Linked DNA regions of Drosophila melanogaster. The protein of the gene in region 2 interacts with the protein of the main gene of each other region in a pairwise test. Each region holds a gene or a part of one and is shown on either strand. Other genes may lie near its edges. The genes, in order: Drsl4, CG11327, Galk and CG32579.

Region 1 (2,699 bases), on a different chromosome or scaffold from region 2:
TAGACATAGTCCCTAAATCTTAGTAGTTGTAATGCTATATGTAAATGTTTTTACCACAACCGAGAACCTAGTTTCTATTTAATTTTAATCGTATCGAACTTTATAATGACTATACATTTAATGCAAACATCATGTATTATTTTATGATCTGCATTAATTTTCAGATGTATATGTTTGTAAATAAACGCCAAACATAATTAGACCAAGCGAACTAACTGTATACAATTTGATAAAATGCCTCTTTGGAGTCGAAATTTTCGATACAATCAGGGGTCACTGGTACTTCCTGATTCCCTGATTCATTTTATCGATTGCAGCAATGGGCAAGATTGCGAGCTCTGCCTCGAGTTTCTTGGAAGCTTATCGAATTCAGATAGGAGCACATGTGTGACATCAAAGTTGAGGCACCTAGCCACTGAGCAAATGCATCACAAAAGATTTTGAAACGTGCTAAAAAAGATTATTGGAAATGCATGGAGGTGGTGTAGTCCTATATAAGCGTCCCCACAAGCTGTCGATACCAAACGTCTTCGAGAACTCAAGTAAAGTACCAGACTCGTTCGGAACATCAGTTGCAATGGTGCAGATCAAATTCCTTTTCGTCTTCCTGGCTGTGATGACAATTGTTGTCCTGGCCGCCAATATGGCTGATGCCGATTGCCTTTCCGGCAAATACAAGGGTCCCTGCGCCGTCTGGGACAACGAGATGTGCCGACGTATTTGCAAGGAGGAGGGACATATCAGTGGCCACTGCAGTCCCAGCCTGAAGTGCTGGTGCGAAGGATGCTGAATCCATACTATATCCATTTGAAATGTGTATATTGAATATTTCATTCTAAACAAATAATATATAAATATAAAGGCCTCTTACGCTTATCACTCATACGCACTGTTGTCTTTTAATTTCCTGTATGGCAATGTGTTAGGAGAAGTGAATGTTTACATACATCATTAAATCGAAAAGATAGCAATTCTAGGTAAATAACTTATTATGATAACGATGCATTTTTAAATCAATGAAGTTGACACATGGCACACATAAATCAAGTGTTTCTGGAAAACTAGGATTATATCGGTTATTGTTAGCTTGAATTTCCGAGAAGCTTATCGATTGCTACGATCAAATAAAAAATCTTAAAATCTGTATCTCTATATAAGCGTCCCCACGAGTGGTCGATGCCAAAAGTCTTTAAGAACTCAAGTAAAATTCCCGACTCGTTGAAAACATCAGTTGTCATGGTGCAGATGATATTCCTGTTTGCTATCCTTGCTGTAATGACCATTGTCCTAATGGAGGCCAACACTGTTTTGGCACGTGATTGCCTATCTGGAACTTTCGGAGGTCCTTGCTGGGCCTGGAGTGGAGAAAAGTGCCGCCGTCTCTGCATTGAGGAGGGACATGTCAGTGGACACTGCAGTGGCGCAATGAAGTGCTGGTGCGAAGGATGCTAGATCCACTGCAGTTCAAAAGTGCATGCTGTTTTTTTGTTTATTCTGAGCCAATAATAAATATACTGTACACCGCACAGTAAAAGGCACGTAAGCATTGCCTTTCAGGAGTTATCTCTTGATTTGATTTAATATGTATGTGGTAAGTATATTAAACAAAAAGGTGCATCAACATCAAGAAGGTATAGCAATTCTATCATCCCAAAATAGCGATGCGCGTTTTGTCGCGTAAAAGGCCCAAAAGTATGCCTTTCGAAAGTTATATTGCAGTTATTTGCATTTTCACCTTTATGCTAATCGGTTAATATACAAATTCTGTACCTATATAAGAGTGCAGTCGGACTCAAGAAACTCAAAAGTAAAGATTTTAACCAGAAGAACATTCTAATAATGGCTCAAATTAAAGGATTGTTTGCTCTCCTCGCTGTGGTGACCATTGTCCTAATGGTGGCCAACTCGGCTTCGGCCGTGGATTGCCCATCTGGAAGATTCAGTGGTCCTTGCTGGGCCTGGGATGGAGAGCAGTGCCGTCGCCTCTGCAGGGAGGAAGGACGTGTCAGTGGACACTGCAGTGCCAGTCTGAAGTGCTGGTGCGAACAATGCTGAGGATCCTCATCGTCCAATATGTTTGACACATATGTGTGTCATATGTTTTTTATTGTTTTGAAAAGAAAAATAAAGAATATACTTCACAGCAAATAATACAGTTTTATTTCTACTTAAAGAACGAATCCTTTTAAAATCATAAATTTACTTCGAAAATGAGATTTATAATGGAATGGAAGAAATAATTAAATGATAAATAATCAGAGTTAACTTCAATAGAAAGCTAAAATTCATTTAGAAAGAAGTGGAATATATAATTCAACTCATAATAAGCATTTAAGAAAAAAAAAGCATAGACTATTTCAGTCTTAACAAGAGTTGGAAAGGCCATTTTCATTTATGAACACAAATCTTCATTTACCAGCACCCATATCACTTTATGGGAAATAAAGATAATCTTGTCATGTTAATATTTCCAACAAATTATCAACCGTGTTACATCGAAAAGTGCAAGTTTGGTGTTTGAATCCGGTTCTGGGTTTTCCTAACAAACTCGACAGTTTTACAATTTATGAATAAATTTAATTAATGAAACTGGTTTAATTAGTTTCCTAGAAGTCTCGTGATAAATGGCACATTGCATAAAATCAATGTCGGCAGATTATTAATAAGCCATTTTTAATTTTCCATTAGAAAAACTACGC
Region 2 (4,338 bases):
AAAATTTCACAGCAGCGCACTCCGCTAAAAAAACAGTTTGTTCGTTCATATGGAAACAACCGTATGCGACTGCAGTGTGACCGCACGCTAGCACGCGAAAAAATATTGCCTTTGAACAGGAGCGGTTCAGTAAAGATATTTGTATTCAATATAATAGTTATGTAAAACTAAAACTTGCAATAATCCCAAACTATTTTCCAAGTAAAAACTATTATTCCGGGAATTGCGTCAAATTAGCCTTTTCATTTATTAATTTTCTTTCCCGTCGTCTAGTACTAGTCCCGCCGACCAGTCTCTCCGTGTCCCACCGACATAGTTAGATCTGTAAGTTCGTATCATTGCTATTTTTCACGATTCCTCTATACATTCAAAAAAAAAAAAATAAATAAAAAATTCCCCATGTTTAGAATTCCGCCGTTCCTCCATCGGTAATTATTCCGGGAAAACAGTAAACGGGCAGGTGCAGTTTCCGGTTATCGATAACCGTTACCCTGCCCTAGCCAACAAGAGTATGACCTGACAAAGGCGCCACCTAGCGCTCGTTTCAAAAAGAATGTTAAGTAATTGGCGCTTTAATTCAAATATACATACAAATTATACAAATTACAAACAGTGCGGCCGTGATATTGTGGATATTTATTTGGAAAATAGATATTTAAAGCAACCCAACTATGCCAATGCGTCGGGCGATTTTGAAGTGTTTCCTAAGATATACCGTAGTGAAACGTATGCTCTCGCAAGTTCGCATTATCCAATTTGCATTTCTAGAATAGTGAACTTCTACTCCTTGCGAATTATATAGACCAAACTGAAAGCCAAGCTGCAGAACAATATGGGATAGCTAAGCTTAAGGATTCTGTGGTTGACTAGACGCCTCAAGAAACTCAAGGGCTTGCCAGTTTGTTTTAGGTCCGGATCCGTTTCCTCCTCCATATCGATTTCCGCCTCCGGGCCCGTCAGCGTCTCCCTTTCTTCCGCTTGCTCACTTTCTATCAAGTCTGGAGCTGTTTCAACTTCGCTATTCTCTTCTATTCTGGCCTGCAAAAGTTGGCGCATTAGGTGCACATTGTACTCCGGATCAAATAGTTCATCCAAAGTAACCATCTCGCGACCGTTTTGCACCGACCCATCTAGTGAGGGATGGTCGGCCAGTTCCGGGACCGAGTCAATGCACACAATCTCATCCGCCGTTGGATGAAACATGGGCTCCAATGTTTCAGGGTATTTCTCGAATTGTTCACGAACAAGCCTGTCCTCTTCGGACTCGCTACTTTCATTAATTAACGTTTCGAGTTCCTCCATATCCGATTCGGGTACAGATTTCTCGGATTCTACGTCTGTAGGATCTTGCGGGGTCTCTTGGACGATCTCTGTGTGTTCATCTATTGGCTCTTCGCCCAAATGCTGGACAATTTCGAATTCCTTTAAAGATTCTATTTCCACGGCAGTTTCCTTTATTTCTGGAAATTCCCCTTTCGGTGCAATTTCTTTTTCCACCATCTGTACATTTCCTGGTATAAGTTCTTCGGGTTGTGTTTCAGGAAGTGTTTCCTGCTGAATATCGTTTCCTGTCAGCTGTTCCATATCTAGTCCGGAAGACTCGGCACCATTCTCCACATCAGAGGCTTCATTTTGCAACTGTGTATCCACATCAGTGGCGTCATATTGCACCTGTGTATCCTGGTCAATATCATCGGGCAGTAGATTTTGCATATCTAAATTATTAAAAGCCACATCAGCCTCCATTTCGGCGACGACGCGTTGAAGTTCCTTGAGAGTCTGCTCCTCTGCCAGTCGGAGCTCCAACTCGCTGCTAGTGTCCGGAATCCTGTCGAGCATCGGCTGCAGCATTGGACTCGGTCTGGCCGACAGCGTAGTCTGCTGCTCGTCCGTGGAGCAATCCAAATTGATGCCAGAATCGTCGGCCATCTGTTGACTTTCCATGGAGGAGCGTCGCTTTCTCTCGGGCATCAGTGAACTGTAGATCCGGCTGCTGGCACTGGGTCCCAAGAAAAGTGGAGCCGGAATTTTAGTGGGCCTAACTCCCGAACTGCGAGGCCGCAGCTCACTCTCCGACGAAGATGGGACAACCGCGTCCACATCGTTTTCCATTGATTGACATTCTTCGGAGTTTTTCACATTCTTGTTGTTCTCAGTCCGCTTCAGCTCTTCCTGGGATGGAGTTGCTTGCACATTGCGGCTGGCCATCGTGGCTATTTGGACGCATAAATGAATGAGGTCAGCACAATTTGGTAGAGCACTGTGCTCCAACTTACCCTTTATAAATTTACGCAAGACTGACTGAATTTAACCTGGTTAACTAGTTCGACATCCGTGAAATATTATATCAATGTTTTCAACATGGGTTTTCCCTTATTTCGGTGATCAAAACGTTCCCTAGCGAAAGTGTGTTCGCCTAACTGTGGCAATTGAACTAAATGGATTGACAGGCAATGTCTCCTGATTTCACGTGCAGCCAGGCCAACTTGATTCAGTTCATTTTTGTGTTGGAAAACGCGGCTCCAATGGCCAACTGGATTGGCAACTCATTTATTAACTTAGTGGTAGCATTAATACATAATTTGGTTAGAATTGATGGCAGAAAAGACGTTAATGGCTCTGAGGATTGCGATTCCCCTCAGTCCTGCAACTCCACCTTCGTCTTGAGATAGTCGGACAGATCATTGTAGATCAGCGGCTTCACACGATCTGTTTTGAAAAGCATAGAAAAAAGTTTAGTTCAGTTGAAGTTACCACTTTGTTTCGATTTCCCTTACTATTGCACTTGTACTGCAGGTTGGACCATATAATCATCCTCTGTGAGAAGCAGAACACGCCCAGCCGACCGCCCTTCAGCGTGGAGTCAAACACATTGCCCGAGTCGAAGATCAGGCGGTTACCCTCGTGCATTCTGTGGGTAGAAGGAGAATGAAGACATGGGAACCCTGTCATGGTGCCATCACTCACTGCAGGCGGATGAGGCCGATGGCCGGTCGATGCACCAGGGACCAGCGGTAGGAGGTCCTTTCCTTCCACGCAATGTTCTTCGGATCCTTCCACAGCAGCCTGGCCTCACCGTCGGTGTTTCCCTCGTGCCACAGGCTGTTCCTCATCATTGGGCCCGGACCCTCGGTGCTGTTGACCAGCTTGATCTGGATGCCCGGCGCCGCAGAGGCGGTGAAGGGTCGTGGCTCCCAGTAGGTTTGGGTGCCCTTCTTCCACTGCACCACGTAGTACTTGTAGCTGCTCTGGTAGCTGAACACAAAGCCAGCGTAGTCATCGTCCGTGTCATCGTTGATATAAAAGGTGCCGTCGAAGTCAACGCCTCCGAAGGCGTCCTTGCCCACCGCTAGTCCCGGATCCGAATTGAGGGTCTGGACTATCTCGGTGCCATTGGCGTGTACCACCCAGTTGGGATCCGCTTGCGATAGGCCTTTGGGATCCAGTGGAATGGTTTGAAGAGTGCGAAAGTCAGTGTGATGAATCATCGAGTTGTTCGGGCAGTTGTCCATGCCATTCGGTACACCATCTACGTCCTCATCATCTTCGCAAGAGTCACCCTTGCCATTCCGATTGAAGTCGTCCTGCTTTGGGTTCTTGGCCAGCGGACAGTTGTCCTTGTAGTTGGGTATCCCATCTCCGTCCATGTCGTCATCGCACTCATCGCCCGTTCCATCACCGTCAGTGTCCAGCTGGTCCGAGTTACTGACCATTGGGCAGTTGTCCAGCGAGTTTGGAACTCCATCATCATCCCCGTCGATGTCTCTGTGACAGGCATCGCCTACAAAGTCCATGTCGCGATCCTTTTGGTCGGGATTCGGAAGATTCGGACAGTTATCGCAAGCGTCGCCCACACCATCGTTGTCCACGTCCGACTGACTGGGATTCGGCAGCAGCGGACAGTTGTCTAGCGCATTTGGTATGGAGTCGTTGTCGATATCACCATCGCACTCGTCTCCCAGTCCATCCTCGTCCGTGTCCAACTGCCTGGGATTGTACTTAAGCACGCAGTTGTCGCACACATCGCCCACCTTGTCTCCATCCGAGTCCAGCTGCTCGGTGTTGTAGGCCAGCCAGCAGTTGTCTTGGCTGTTCTGGACATTGTCGCCATCGGCATCGTCGTCGCACCCATCGCCATGTCCATCCAGATCGGCGTCCTCCTGGCCTGAATTAGGCAACTTCGGGCAGTTGTCTCGCTGACAGCGCAGCTCTGGACAACCGATTGCCTGATCTGGCCATCCATCTACGTCGGTATCCCTACCGCAAATCAAACCGTTGCCCGCCCATCCCACATTGCAGTGACACTTGTGGCGGATGTTATCCATCCTAAGGCACACG
Region 3 (6,353 bases), on a different chromosome or scaffold from region 2:
AGCGAGATTCGAAAATCGGTTGACTCACAGACTTGAGTTCAACTCGTTTTTGTGGCATTCAACGGCAAGCGAATAAAAGTTCGCCGTCTCGATATTCTATGATCAGTTTACAGTCTCAACTTCACCCAGGTGTTCCAGTTTCATTTGAAGTGCTTCTCTCGAGGATTAGCCGTTGAAATAAGTCCAGATCAAAGTGAGTGAGTGTCGTGTGTTTGTGCGAGTGGGTGCTTTTTGGAGAACCGAAATCCGATTCGGTTGTGTGGGATCGTAACCTTGACTTTGGCTGAATCAACGTATCAATTTGGACTTGGAATATGTAAATGCATTTAATGGCGCATAATAAAAATGCATGTACAGTGGCTGTGATCATTAAAAAGTAGAAAGGTTTAAAGAGTGTATAATCTAATAACGAATGTCACATTTTCAAGGATTATATCAGGGTTTCAGTTCGAAGTGAATATATCAAAGCCTAAAAAGGATGATCATGATTTAAATCAATTTCATTGCTAACGTATTCTTAATTAATACATTTGGTAAATGCATCTTCGATAATGTCATTATAACGTAAAATAAAAAATAATATTTTCACCAATCCTTATAGCAAATTACCCAATTGCAATTAAAATCTCAAAAGAGTTCTAGAGAGACCACTGTACTTATATCTCAAGCTACGATTGCTTTGTTGCGACCAAATTGGAGCACTCTACGCTTGACAAATAAAGCTCGCCATTTAGTTCGCGGCCAGTCCAATTCTTATCAATAAAAAAAAGCCAGTTCCAAGTTGCAAAAAAGTTCATGGATTAGCAACTGTAACAGTTTGAGCCAAGATCTCCGCGTTGCCCACTCCATTGGCCATATGCGATAATTGATTTTCCCGTACATAATTTATGACGCACGAAACTGACAGCCGACTTGTAGATTAAAAACTGCCACTGACCAGCGGCAATAAATCTGTCCGTATCGCTTTATTAGAACGTTGGACAATAATGCCAGCTCCTGCTCCTTTTCTCCCCTCCAGCAGCCAATCATGCCGACCGCCTGCCAAGTAACGCTGCTCGCTGGATGCCTGCTTCTGGCCATGAGTTCGGTTCGGGCCCAGTTCTTCTACCACCAGGCGCTGGGTCTGCCGGTTGCGCACGCTTACGAACCGGCCAATCCGTACCAGGGATATGCAACAGCCGATGCCCATCCCTCGGTGGTGCGAAATGCCCAGTGGGAGTCTGAGTTGCCGGCTGAGCTGTCGAAGAGTGCGCGGTTCTACAATGATCCCGTGATCGCTGCCAATCTGGCCAAGGAATCACTGCTCACGAAGAAGGAAATGGCAGTGGTACATCGTGAGGCGGAGAAAATACCGCGCGAACAGGTGTACAAGCTCTTCAAGAACGCCGGCTATCTGAGTAGCAGATAGAACTCACGATGCCAGATGAGTTCCGTTCCCCACGTGCCTTGTTGTATTTTAGCTTGTAAATTGTTAATATATTGTACATAGTACTCTACATATTAAATGTTTTTTCTATAAATGACCGTTTGATTATAGTGACTGATAGGATGATTTTGGTATAAAAGTTGGATTAAAATGCTACACAAGCGTTCACTGTATATACAACTCGGCTCCGTTTCCTGGTAGAGTGGCAAAGACCACTTCGCTAAAGTTGTTGGGCTGATGACGCTCCAGGAGATGTGTTGGCAATTGAGCATAGTAATCGCGCTTCAAAACCTTTATGTACTCATCAGCTGCTTCTATGGAATCGCACATGGCAACTATACAACCGCCCCAACTGAAAAAGAATAATGTTGATTAAATTCATAGAGTCACTAGGATATCGGTTTTCTTACCCAGCTCCAGTGACTCGGGCGCTAACGTTCTGCTGGTTCGATATGGCAATCAGGCGCTCTACATCAGGATGAGAGCATTCGTATAGCTCCCTTAAACTCTCGTGGGATTGCCGCATGAGCTCACCCAGCTGTTTTGCACCTTCCTTATTGGCTCCGCCGGCGAGTTCCTCACAAATTTTCCGGAATTTGGCCACGCGACCGGATTCTGTTAGGCGGAAACAATGTTATTAACTGATCTTGCAATTTAATATTATTTGCTAAGAGTTTAAATCTTTCGGACAACAAATGAATGTCAACGTATTATTAATTGACTGTAATTATTCATTTGGTGATCAATAAATTTAATGTACACGTAATGATTCAGATTAAATGTGAAATCCTGATTGTAAATGATTAACTTACCCTGAATAACATGCAGAGCACGTTGACGCAGCTTGAACTGCTCCATGTGCCGAGTGTTGGCGGATAGGAACTTGGTCTCCAGTTCCTGTTCGGTGACTCCCAACTCCTTGCAGATATCCGCTCGCGTGTAGTTGCTCTTCGTTAAGTTGTCCTTAATCAACTTCTCGAAAGTCTCATTATCCATTTGGCACGCCTCCTCTAGATCAATGAAGCGCACAATATCCTCCCAGTTGATCAAGCCCTTGCGCTTGGCCAGCCATCTAGTGGCCAATCGGCATTCCACCACTCGTTCATTGTAGTCCGACGAAGCAGCCTTGTTCTTTTGAGCCAGACTGTTGGCCACAACGAAGCACTTGCCCGCTGGCAAGGTCACCGGAGTGCCCTTGAGCTTGGGATGGAACTCGATGTGGTGGGCGCAGCCAACTCTGCCCAAATAGGCTATTGCCTGATCCATACCACCACTGTGCGTTCCAATGTACTGCTCACACATGGCCGAAATGGAAGCCAGCTCCCTGCGATCTAGTTTCTTGCCCTGGACGTGTGCGGTGGCCAACACAGCGGAGCTGACCATGGCACTCGAACTGGAGAGTCCTGCCGCCAAGGGCACATTACCGTCCACAGCAATGCGCATGCCAATGGGCTTCCACTGGCTGCCCAGACTCTCCTGTATTCCTTTGATGCCGCACAAGAAGTAGTTATACCAAGCGGGTCCACCACTCTTTGGAAGCTCGATTCTAAAATAGCAAAAAAATATTTGGACTTATCATTTCTAAATTCGTTTAGATACCGCCTTCAAGGTGACATTGTTATTATAACAAATTAAATGGAAAATTTTCTAGTGCTTAAGGTCGGTAATTATCATGTTTCTGATTCACCCACCTGAGCGTTTTGAGATCGGCATCGTAGCCCGTAAACTTCGCTTCCTCGAGATTTCTGAGTTGAAGCTGGCTATCACTAGGATTCTTGGCCACTGCAAGGAAAATGCTCTGGCTTACAGCCATGGGCAGCACCGAATAGCCGCAGTAGTCCACATGCTCGCCAATGATGTTGACCCTAGGAGAAGGAGGAGATATCATCGATAAGGGACTATAGATGTGCACCACGAGTGGAACTGCTCACCTTCCTGGCACTCGAACGATAAAGTCCGGATTCGCTCCGAATTGTTGTTTGAAAAATGCGGTCAATTGCTGCACGCGCCCGTAAACCTTGGATTCCGGCTGGAGCTTCTGTGGGGCCACGATTTCAATGCCGGCACCCAAATCCTGAGCAGTTCCGTTCCCGTTGGCAGTCATGTTCACCTGCAGGCGGGTGAAACTTTAATAATGCCCATTATTTTCGCAGTCGACGAACCGTAAACGTGTCGCAACTGGTTAATCTAAATTTATGGGCAAAAACAAATTTACATACGTAAACAAATAGCCGTGGCAAAGGGAAAAACAATTGCACCTGTGGTTGTGCAAAAATTAGCTTATCAACCCATCTCACCTTATCAATATGTCCAAATAGCTATTAGCACACAAAGTGATGTACTAACATTGCGGTTATCAGTTGGGGAAACGGCATCAAAGTCACTAAAACATTAGATTGACGCCAATTTGACCGCTTAATTGGGCAAAAAACAAGTACAAAAGTGCAATTTCTGCCGGTAAATGAAAAGGAAGGGTGTGCGGGAGCGAGAGGACTATAGCCAACAGCTGTTATTTAGGAGTTGCCAGGCTTGCAGAAGCATTAACCCTTGAAATGCGCAATGGATAAAGATTTTATTTTGAATATTTATCCGCGAAATTGATGTTTATGTCTAGTCCCAACTAATAGTAAATTATTTGGCAATAAAGTTCTTAGCTGGTAATTGTTTTTCAAAAGTACTACCGCTTAAACTTACTGCCGCATAATCTAAATAGACCATTAATGACAAACATGACATTTATCTTATCTCGAAACCATAAACTTAACCTGTATTGAGCTTACCTTTTGTTTACATACCAGAATAAACACAGATATAAAGGATTTTGTCAAGATTTTTACACTTTTGCCGATACATACCCAACAATGCCTTATCTTTCTCTGTTTGAGGTCAAATTAACTTGGTGCCGTCTTATCAGAGAGGAGTTCTAGTTTTCGGTGTGAGCACGTCGCGTTCCATCAAGCAACTGAGCAATCCGGCCCGTTCCGTTTCCGTTTTTGCTTAGTCCGGAATACTATGAACAATAAAGTGATACTTCCTTATCAGTAGCATTACTGAAATATAAATGCTCGGAGACCTTATAGAACACCAGTTTCCCAGCTAGCGATGTTGCACTGTGTGTATCAGTAGGAACTTGTTGAGAGCTTTGTTAGTTTATAACTAGCTGTCTTTACCGTTAAATGGGTCAAACATCTTCATAGCATATGAATTCTTTCTTGTTAGCATTCTAAAAAACTGGTTTCCAAATTTTGTCTGCTTTAAAAAGTGGTTTTGACATCCACTTTGCGAAAGGTTATTACCTTGCTTATTATTTTGCCATTAATGTGAAGTATTTACAAAGCTGATAAGGTACAAGTGTTTCGGGGAGCTCATCAATTTTTTCGTAGATAAACTTTTAAAATACTTAATTGATTAAAATGTACAAACATTAAAATATACAACTGTTGTTGTTTCAGTATGGTACGGATTTTCGTCTTTGATTGCAAAAGCCTAAAATATCCGTTTTGGAATTTGAAATGTTGACTGTTGCGGTTAGGCGTTGCCAGACAAGGGCATTGCCAAGTGCAGCTCTTGAACCAGCGCTGCCAGCTGGCGTCAGTTACGGTTTTCTCGATTACGGTCACACTGCAATACTTCTTCGTTGAATTGGAACTATTTTTTTGTTTTCGAAAACGGATAATTGCGAGCAACGACTGTGTGAATAACCACTTGCACCTGCACCGTAGGAGCACCACCTGTTGACCCCACAGCGAAGACAATCGGATCAATGTCGAGTTTACAGCGCACGATGTTGAAGGGCAAGCTGCCACCCACAATTCCTGGCGGGCGCATTGGCAGAGCGTAAGTGCAGGGTATTCTGCGACTGGAGTGGGGAGTACGCAATCTCTACCCAATTTGGCTAATTACAGGGACTCGTTCAAGAAGTCGCGCATTCGCGACTACAAGCCGGGCATGTGGAACGAATTCTTTGCGGAGAAGGAGGACGTCACGGTGGATGAGCAACGCACCTTCCGCATCTATCGCACCAAGCAACCGGAGAAGCCGGGTCCAGTTCTCCTTCTGCTCCACGGCGGTGGCTACTCTGCCCTCACCTGGGCGCACTTTTGTGTGAGTGAATGCGATATATTCTGTTAAATAGTCTTAACATGTACATATATCCATTTAAGTCTGAGGTGACCAGCATGATCCACTGCCAGTGCCTGTGCATCGATATGCGAGGTCATGGGGACAGCAAGGTGGACGACGAGGACGATCTCTCCGCTGATACGTTGGCTAAGTGAGTTGAATCCAAAAAAATATTGTTCTCAAAATATGTTTTAGAGATGGTTATGCAAATTTTTCTACTGCTTACATTAAAAACCAATATTTTTAAGATTTTGTCGAGTAAAACTTCTCGCATTAACTCTTAGCTTTATGAACGATTAGGCTAAACTTGCATAATCTCTTTATTTATAAAAATAGCGCACTGCACTTAAAGTAGGTCGATCTATTTGAACGATCACTCATTTGTAAATATTATTTAGTTTTTTATAGTTACTTTATTCACGGTTGAAGCTAAAAACCATAATAATCTAATCTATAATCTATAATAATGTTTAAAATATTCTAAACAGGGACATCGGTGACTTAATCCTGAAGCTCTATCCTGAAGAAGTGCCGCAGCTTTTTGTGGTTGGCCACTCGATGGGCGGCGCCATCGCCGTCCACTTTGCCCACATGGCTCTGGTGCCCAATTTGATTGGAATAACCGTCATCGATGTTGTGGAGGGCACAGCCATGGAGGCACTAGCCAGCATGCAGAGCTTTCTGCGCTCCCGTCCAAAGTATTTCCAGAGTATTCCGAATGCTATCGAGTGGTGCATCCGAAGCGGCCAAGTGCGCAATGTGGACAGCGCCAAAGTGTCCATGCCGGGACAGATAATAAAGTGAG
Region 4 (4,197 bases), on a different chromosome or scaffold from region 2:
TTTACATTTATCACTTTATTATTACAATAATGATACGTATATTCATTTACAAAACATATCCATTCATTGTTTTTACATATATAGCATTTCATTTCCCAAACCCATACCCGATCCACTATGAAATAGTGAGATTACCATTTGCCTCCCTCAGTGAATTTAAATGAAAGAGATTAATACAAACCCAACTCGAATCAGAACCGCAAGCCACGCCATTTCATTAAACGGAAATAAAGCATTAGATAAACGCATGACAAAGGCCAGAAGAATTTCTGATTCAGAAGTAAAACTAGAAGGAAGTATAAGCATTGTTTACAATACTACATACATACATACATCAATTGGCAATTAATTACATAAATTAGAAGCACCAAACAAAAACGATATGGCTGGCTAGCCTGGAGCAGCAGCACCTTGGCATGCTTATCCCCGAAAGCGGTTGAACTATGGACACCTGTTCCACGGCTACATGCATATTAATATAAGCGAAGCAAAAGCTTAAAAACAGTGATTATCGTGCTCTTTGATTAATCGCTTTGGAATGCCAAAGTCAAAGCGTTGAGAAGGCGTTTTACAGATTCGGATTCGAGATATATAGCGGACGCCCAGACTTAGAACTAAGAAGACTTTTGTAGAGCGAATCGCAGGATTAGCAAAAAGATGCCCACATGGGTCCACACTTGATGGAATACCCGACTCCCTCCGCTGGCGGCAGCCGCAACGAGCGGCGATTTCTGATTGTCACGGCACATCGTTTGGTTCCGAATGAAGTTGAACATGGACTCGACGAGATTCGCCGGTGTTATGTCCGAGCATTGCTCCAGTTTACGGACCACACACGCCTGCAGAGTCAGCATCTCGTCGCACTGTTTCTGACCGACCGTCAGCTTGGGCATGCTCCTGATGCGGTTGTCCTGCAGATCCGACACGTTCAGGTACTCGGAGAACGTGCTGTTCACGCACTGCTGAATGTTGTCCTTCTGGGACTCAATGCATTCGGGTCCCTTTTCGGCAATGAACAGGGCTATCTGATCGCCATCCTTGTGGCACACAAAGTTGAGCAGACTCTGGATGATCTGCTTAATGACATCCTGGCCCTCGCGCTCCTCCTGCACCAGACAGGGCACCAGTTTGGCCGTGAACGCATCCACACACTCGACGGCATTCGAACGCCGGCTGCAGTACTTGTTGAAGACCACATCCAGTTCGCCCTTGGGCGACGCTTCCTGTATCTCCTGCTGCATTGCCGTGTAGTTGACAATGCCATTGAGGCACTCGGTTAGCACCATGAATCCGGACTCGATCTCGCCGTATGCCTCGACGCCCGCCTCCTCGCCGGCCACCTCGATGCATTTGTTGCGAAATAGCTCCTTGGCGTCGTTCACGCTAAAGTTTGACTTCCTCAGCTGGTCGGGCAGCTGGGTCTGGATCTGATCCAGGTCTAGCTGGGCCATTATGCCGGCAGTGGCGAATATAACCAGCCAAATGGCGTATATCGCATGGCTTACATATGTCCTGTGCATGATGTTTGCTGTATTTTTTGCACTCCTCTTTGTCTTTTTGCTTGCCTCCTCTTCCGTTATTCTCCTTTGCTCTGGTTTTTAAGCTCTGAGATTTGCACTTTTGTTTGTGATTCTATGCGCTTCAAGCAAACATATTTGTTCGTTTTGCGAAATATGCCTATGCCTTTGGGCAATTGGAAAAAATTAATTTAATTAGGAAATCACTGGATGGAAATCCCAATTGGAGATTCTATCCCACCCGTCGGCTAGAGATGGCACTTCGTCGATGACGCTTTCGATGCAACAGCTCACTATCGGCTTTCCGCCGATAAAAGCGTACGATCGATCTATCTCTAGTTCAAATGAACAAGTTCTCGTAGAATTCAGTCTTTATTCTAATCTTCAGTGTTTTGTTTTTTTTTTTAGTCGAAAACCAGTGTCAGCAAGTTGAAGGCGAGAGTAGTTTGGAGGTCGAGGCCTTGGATATTTGTGTGTGGCTAGGGTGGCACATGTGCAATAAGGAGGCGGAGGAGACATGGCCTCCGCGGAGCAAAGAACCGAAGTGGACGCCCTTATGATGGGGCCGATCTCGAAACTAAGCATGCTGCTCACTGTGGTGTCCATTCTGTGGCGCTTCGTCTCGATTTGCATCAACTGGAGCCTGGCGTACGTGTACTGGATGGAGGAGTCCTACGGATACTGCGCCTGGACCATTGGCTCCATTCTGGTGCCCATGGTGGTCACATCGGTCATATATATACATACGTATGTGACATATCGCGATAGCGTGTACTTCCCCCGAAATCTACAGCTAAACGATAAATTTGTATTTGAATTTCAGCTTGAAGAGCGCTCATGCCGGCGAAAAACGCATCCTGGAGCGAGGGGTGTACTCAAATGCTGTGATCTCATATCTCTTCCGCGATGTCTATGTCCTAAACTATGCGTTCAAATACTCGTTGGCCAAGGAGCGGGATGACAAGCAGGCGGAGATCGAGTGAGTAATGCTAGTGTCAGTGTATAAAACTAGTTAATAGTAGCTTAATGCCCTAAATGGTAGTACTGCCGTTTAGTTTATCTTCTCTTTTCATCATAAGTGAGCACTTTAGAATGTTTATAACGAATATCTGAATTCTTATCTTACAGATATTACCAAAAACTCATGACGGAGGAGTGCAATGTTAGTTTCGTTCGTCTATTCGACTCGTTTTTGGAATCAGCACCGCAGAAAATACTACAGCTGGCAATTCTTTTGCAATCGACATTGGAGTTCACATGTAATACGATATTAATACTACATTAGTGCCATATTTCAATCTCTCTCTCTCTCTGCCTTAATTAAGATAACTAATGCATAAGTAATTTAAGCTTATAAACACCAAATTCTGACGTTCACTTTCGCAAATCAAAGTCAGTTTAGGCGTTTAGCCTAACTCATTGATTGTAGCCAACGAAAGTGAAACTCGGAATGGAAAGTCGATGGATGCCATTTACCCATTCAAATTTCTTTTCCCAGACTACCGCCACATCGCCCTGATCGTCTACTTCGGCAACATAGCGTGGTGCATCCAGGCGTACAATCACTCCAATCGCCTGGCCCAACTGGACAAACATGATATTGCGGCGAAGGGACGATTTCTGCAATTTCTCTTCCTGCTCTGCCTCACTGGTTAGTAGTAGTTAGTTAGCTGTGTTGCTTAGAATGTGTATATTAAGCTTTTAGTTATTCGCTTTTATTTCGTAGTTTCGAGAACGCTTTGCATCGCGTATGTGGCCAGTATTTTTCCCATCGAAACGCTGATCATCTGCGCGACACTGGCTTGCTTTTACGGCACCATTGTGTTCTTTGTGGACTCGCCAATGATCGCAAAATCCCGCCCCATGAACTATTCGTACTGCCTGTGCTTTGGCGTTGTCTATCTATTTATTTTTACGCCCGTCAAGGATGCACCAACCAAATATAAGTACGCCTTCTATCTCACATTCTGTTTGTTGCAAAATATCATCGCCTGCGCTTTGTACATTCCCTTGTATCTTGCCACAGCCATCATTGCCTTGTATATTGTCGGAATTGTTCTGTTAATAATCTACTACACGTACTGCCATCCAAATACTGTGCGTACTTATTTTTAAAATTCTAGCATAATTAGTAGCATTTTGTATATTTGCAATAAACGTTGTTATGCCCACTTGTGATGCGCCTTTGATTTTCAATTGGCTTAAGCTGGTTTCAGATCTAATCTAATATCTAATATGCATTGTGTTTTTATTAGAGGATATATACATACATACATACACACATATGTATATGCAAATTTGATTTCATTTCTAGATTTTCTATCGATATTTGACCATCGATTAACTGATAGTTAGGTTTTAAATTTAGTTAGAACTTTTCTTTGTAGCGGAACATCAACTAAAGGATATATATAGATATATATAATATAAATGTGAACTATATGAATTGAATGTGACACAATATAGTCGCACATACATATATATGTACATACATCTATGTTTGTATTTAAGTGTCATTAAAAAGATGTCATATTTATGTGTTAATCCCGTGTACTTAATTTGAAGCGCTTACTAAATATTTTTCAAATGCAATGCCTTTCTGTTCAACTAGTTCCCAAATATTGATCAGCAAATGCATCATAATTGAATCGATCATTCCAGATGCGCATGCGCAACGCGC

The links.
Region 1: the proteins of CG11327 (region 2) and Drsl4 interact in a two-hybrid assay, tested with the Drosophila melanogaster proteins (one large-scale study listed by BioGRID).
Region 3: the proteins of CG11327 (region 2) and Galk interact in a two-hybrid assay, tested with the Drosophila melanogaster proteins (one large-scale study listed by BioGRID).
Region 4: the proteins of CG11327 (region 2) and CG32579 interact in a two-hybrid assay, tested with the Drosophila melanogaster proteins (one large-scale study listed by BioGRID).

The regions. Positions count from the first base shown.
Region 1 is NT_037436.4:3,313,798-3,316,496, forward strand, and holds Drsl4 (Drosomycin-like 4), read left to right. Parts: upstream 1-1,822; 5' UTR 1,823-1,839; coding exon 1,840-2,055; 3' UTR 2,056-2,145; downstream 2,146-2,699. Other genes in the region: Drsl2 (Drosomycin-like 2), read left to right, coding at 578-790; Drsl3 (Drosomycin-like 3), read left to right, coding at 1,237-1,452.
Region 2 is NT_033779.5:6,684,287-6,688,624, forward strand, and holds CG11327 (uncharacterized protein), read right to left. Parts: upstream 2,427-4,338; 5' UTR 2,277-2,426; intron 2,214-2,276; 5' UTR 2,209-2,213; coding exon 781-2,208; 3' UTR 556-780; downstream 1-555. Other genes in the region: Tsp (thrombospondin), read right to left, coding at 2,639-2,709, 2,778-2,911, 2,968-4,338.
Region 3 is NT_037436.4:8,981,696-8,988,048, forward strand, and holds Galk (galactokinase), read right to left. Parts: upstream 4,397-6,353; 5' UTR 4,282-4,396; intron 4,122-4,281; exon of another isoform or gene 3,724-4,121; intron 3,614-3,723; exon of another isoform or gene 3,537-3,613; 5' UTR 3,531-3,536; coding exon 3,358-3,530; intron 3,292-3,357; coding exon 3,118-3,291; intron 2,973-3,117; coding exon 2,239-2,972; intron 2,042-2,238; coding exon 1,837-2,041; intron 1,779-1,836; coding exon 1,592-1,778; 3' UTR 1,409-1,591; coding exon of another isoform or gene 1,028-1,408; 3' UTR 517-1,027; downstream 1-516. Other genes in the region: CG13314 (uncharacterized protein), read left to right, coding at 1,028-1,408; CG5068 (uncharacterized protein), read left to right, coding at 5,190-5,263, 5,332-5,530, 5,590-5,699, 6,037-6,348.
Region 4 is NC_004354.4:16,321,434-16,325,630, forward strand, and holds CG32579 (uncharacterized protein), read left to right. Parts: upstream 1-1,852; 5' UTR 1,853-2,034; coding exon 2,035-2,264; intron 2,265-2,340; coding exon 2,341-2,496; intron 2,497-2,645; coding exon 2,646-2,776; intron 2,777-3,015; coding exon 3,016-3,168; intron 3,169-3,222; coding exon 3,223-3,632; 3' UTR 3,633-3,687; downstream 3,688-4,197. Other genes in the region: CG9917 (uncharacterized protein), read right to left, coding at 615-1,520.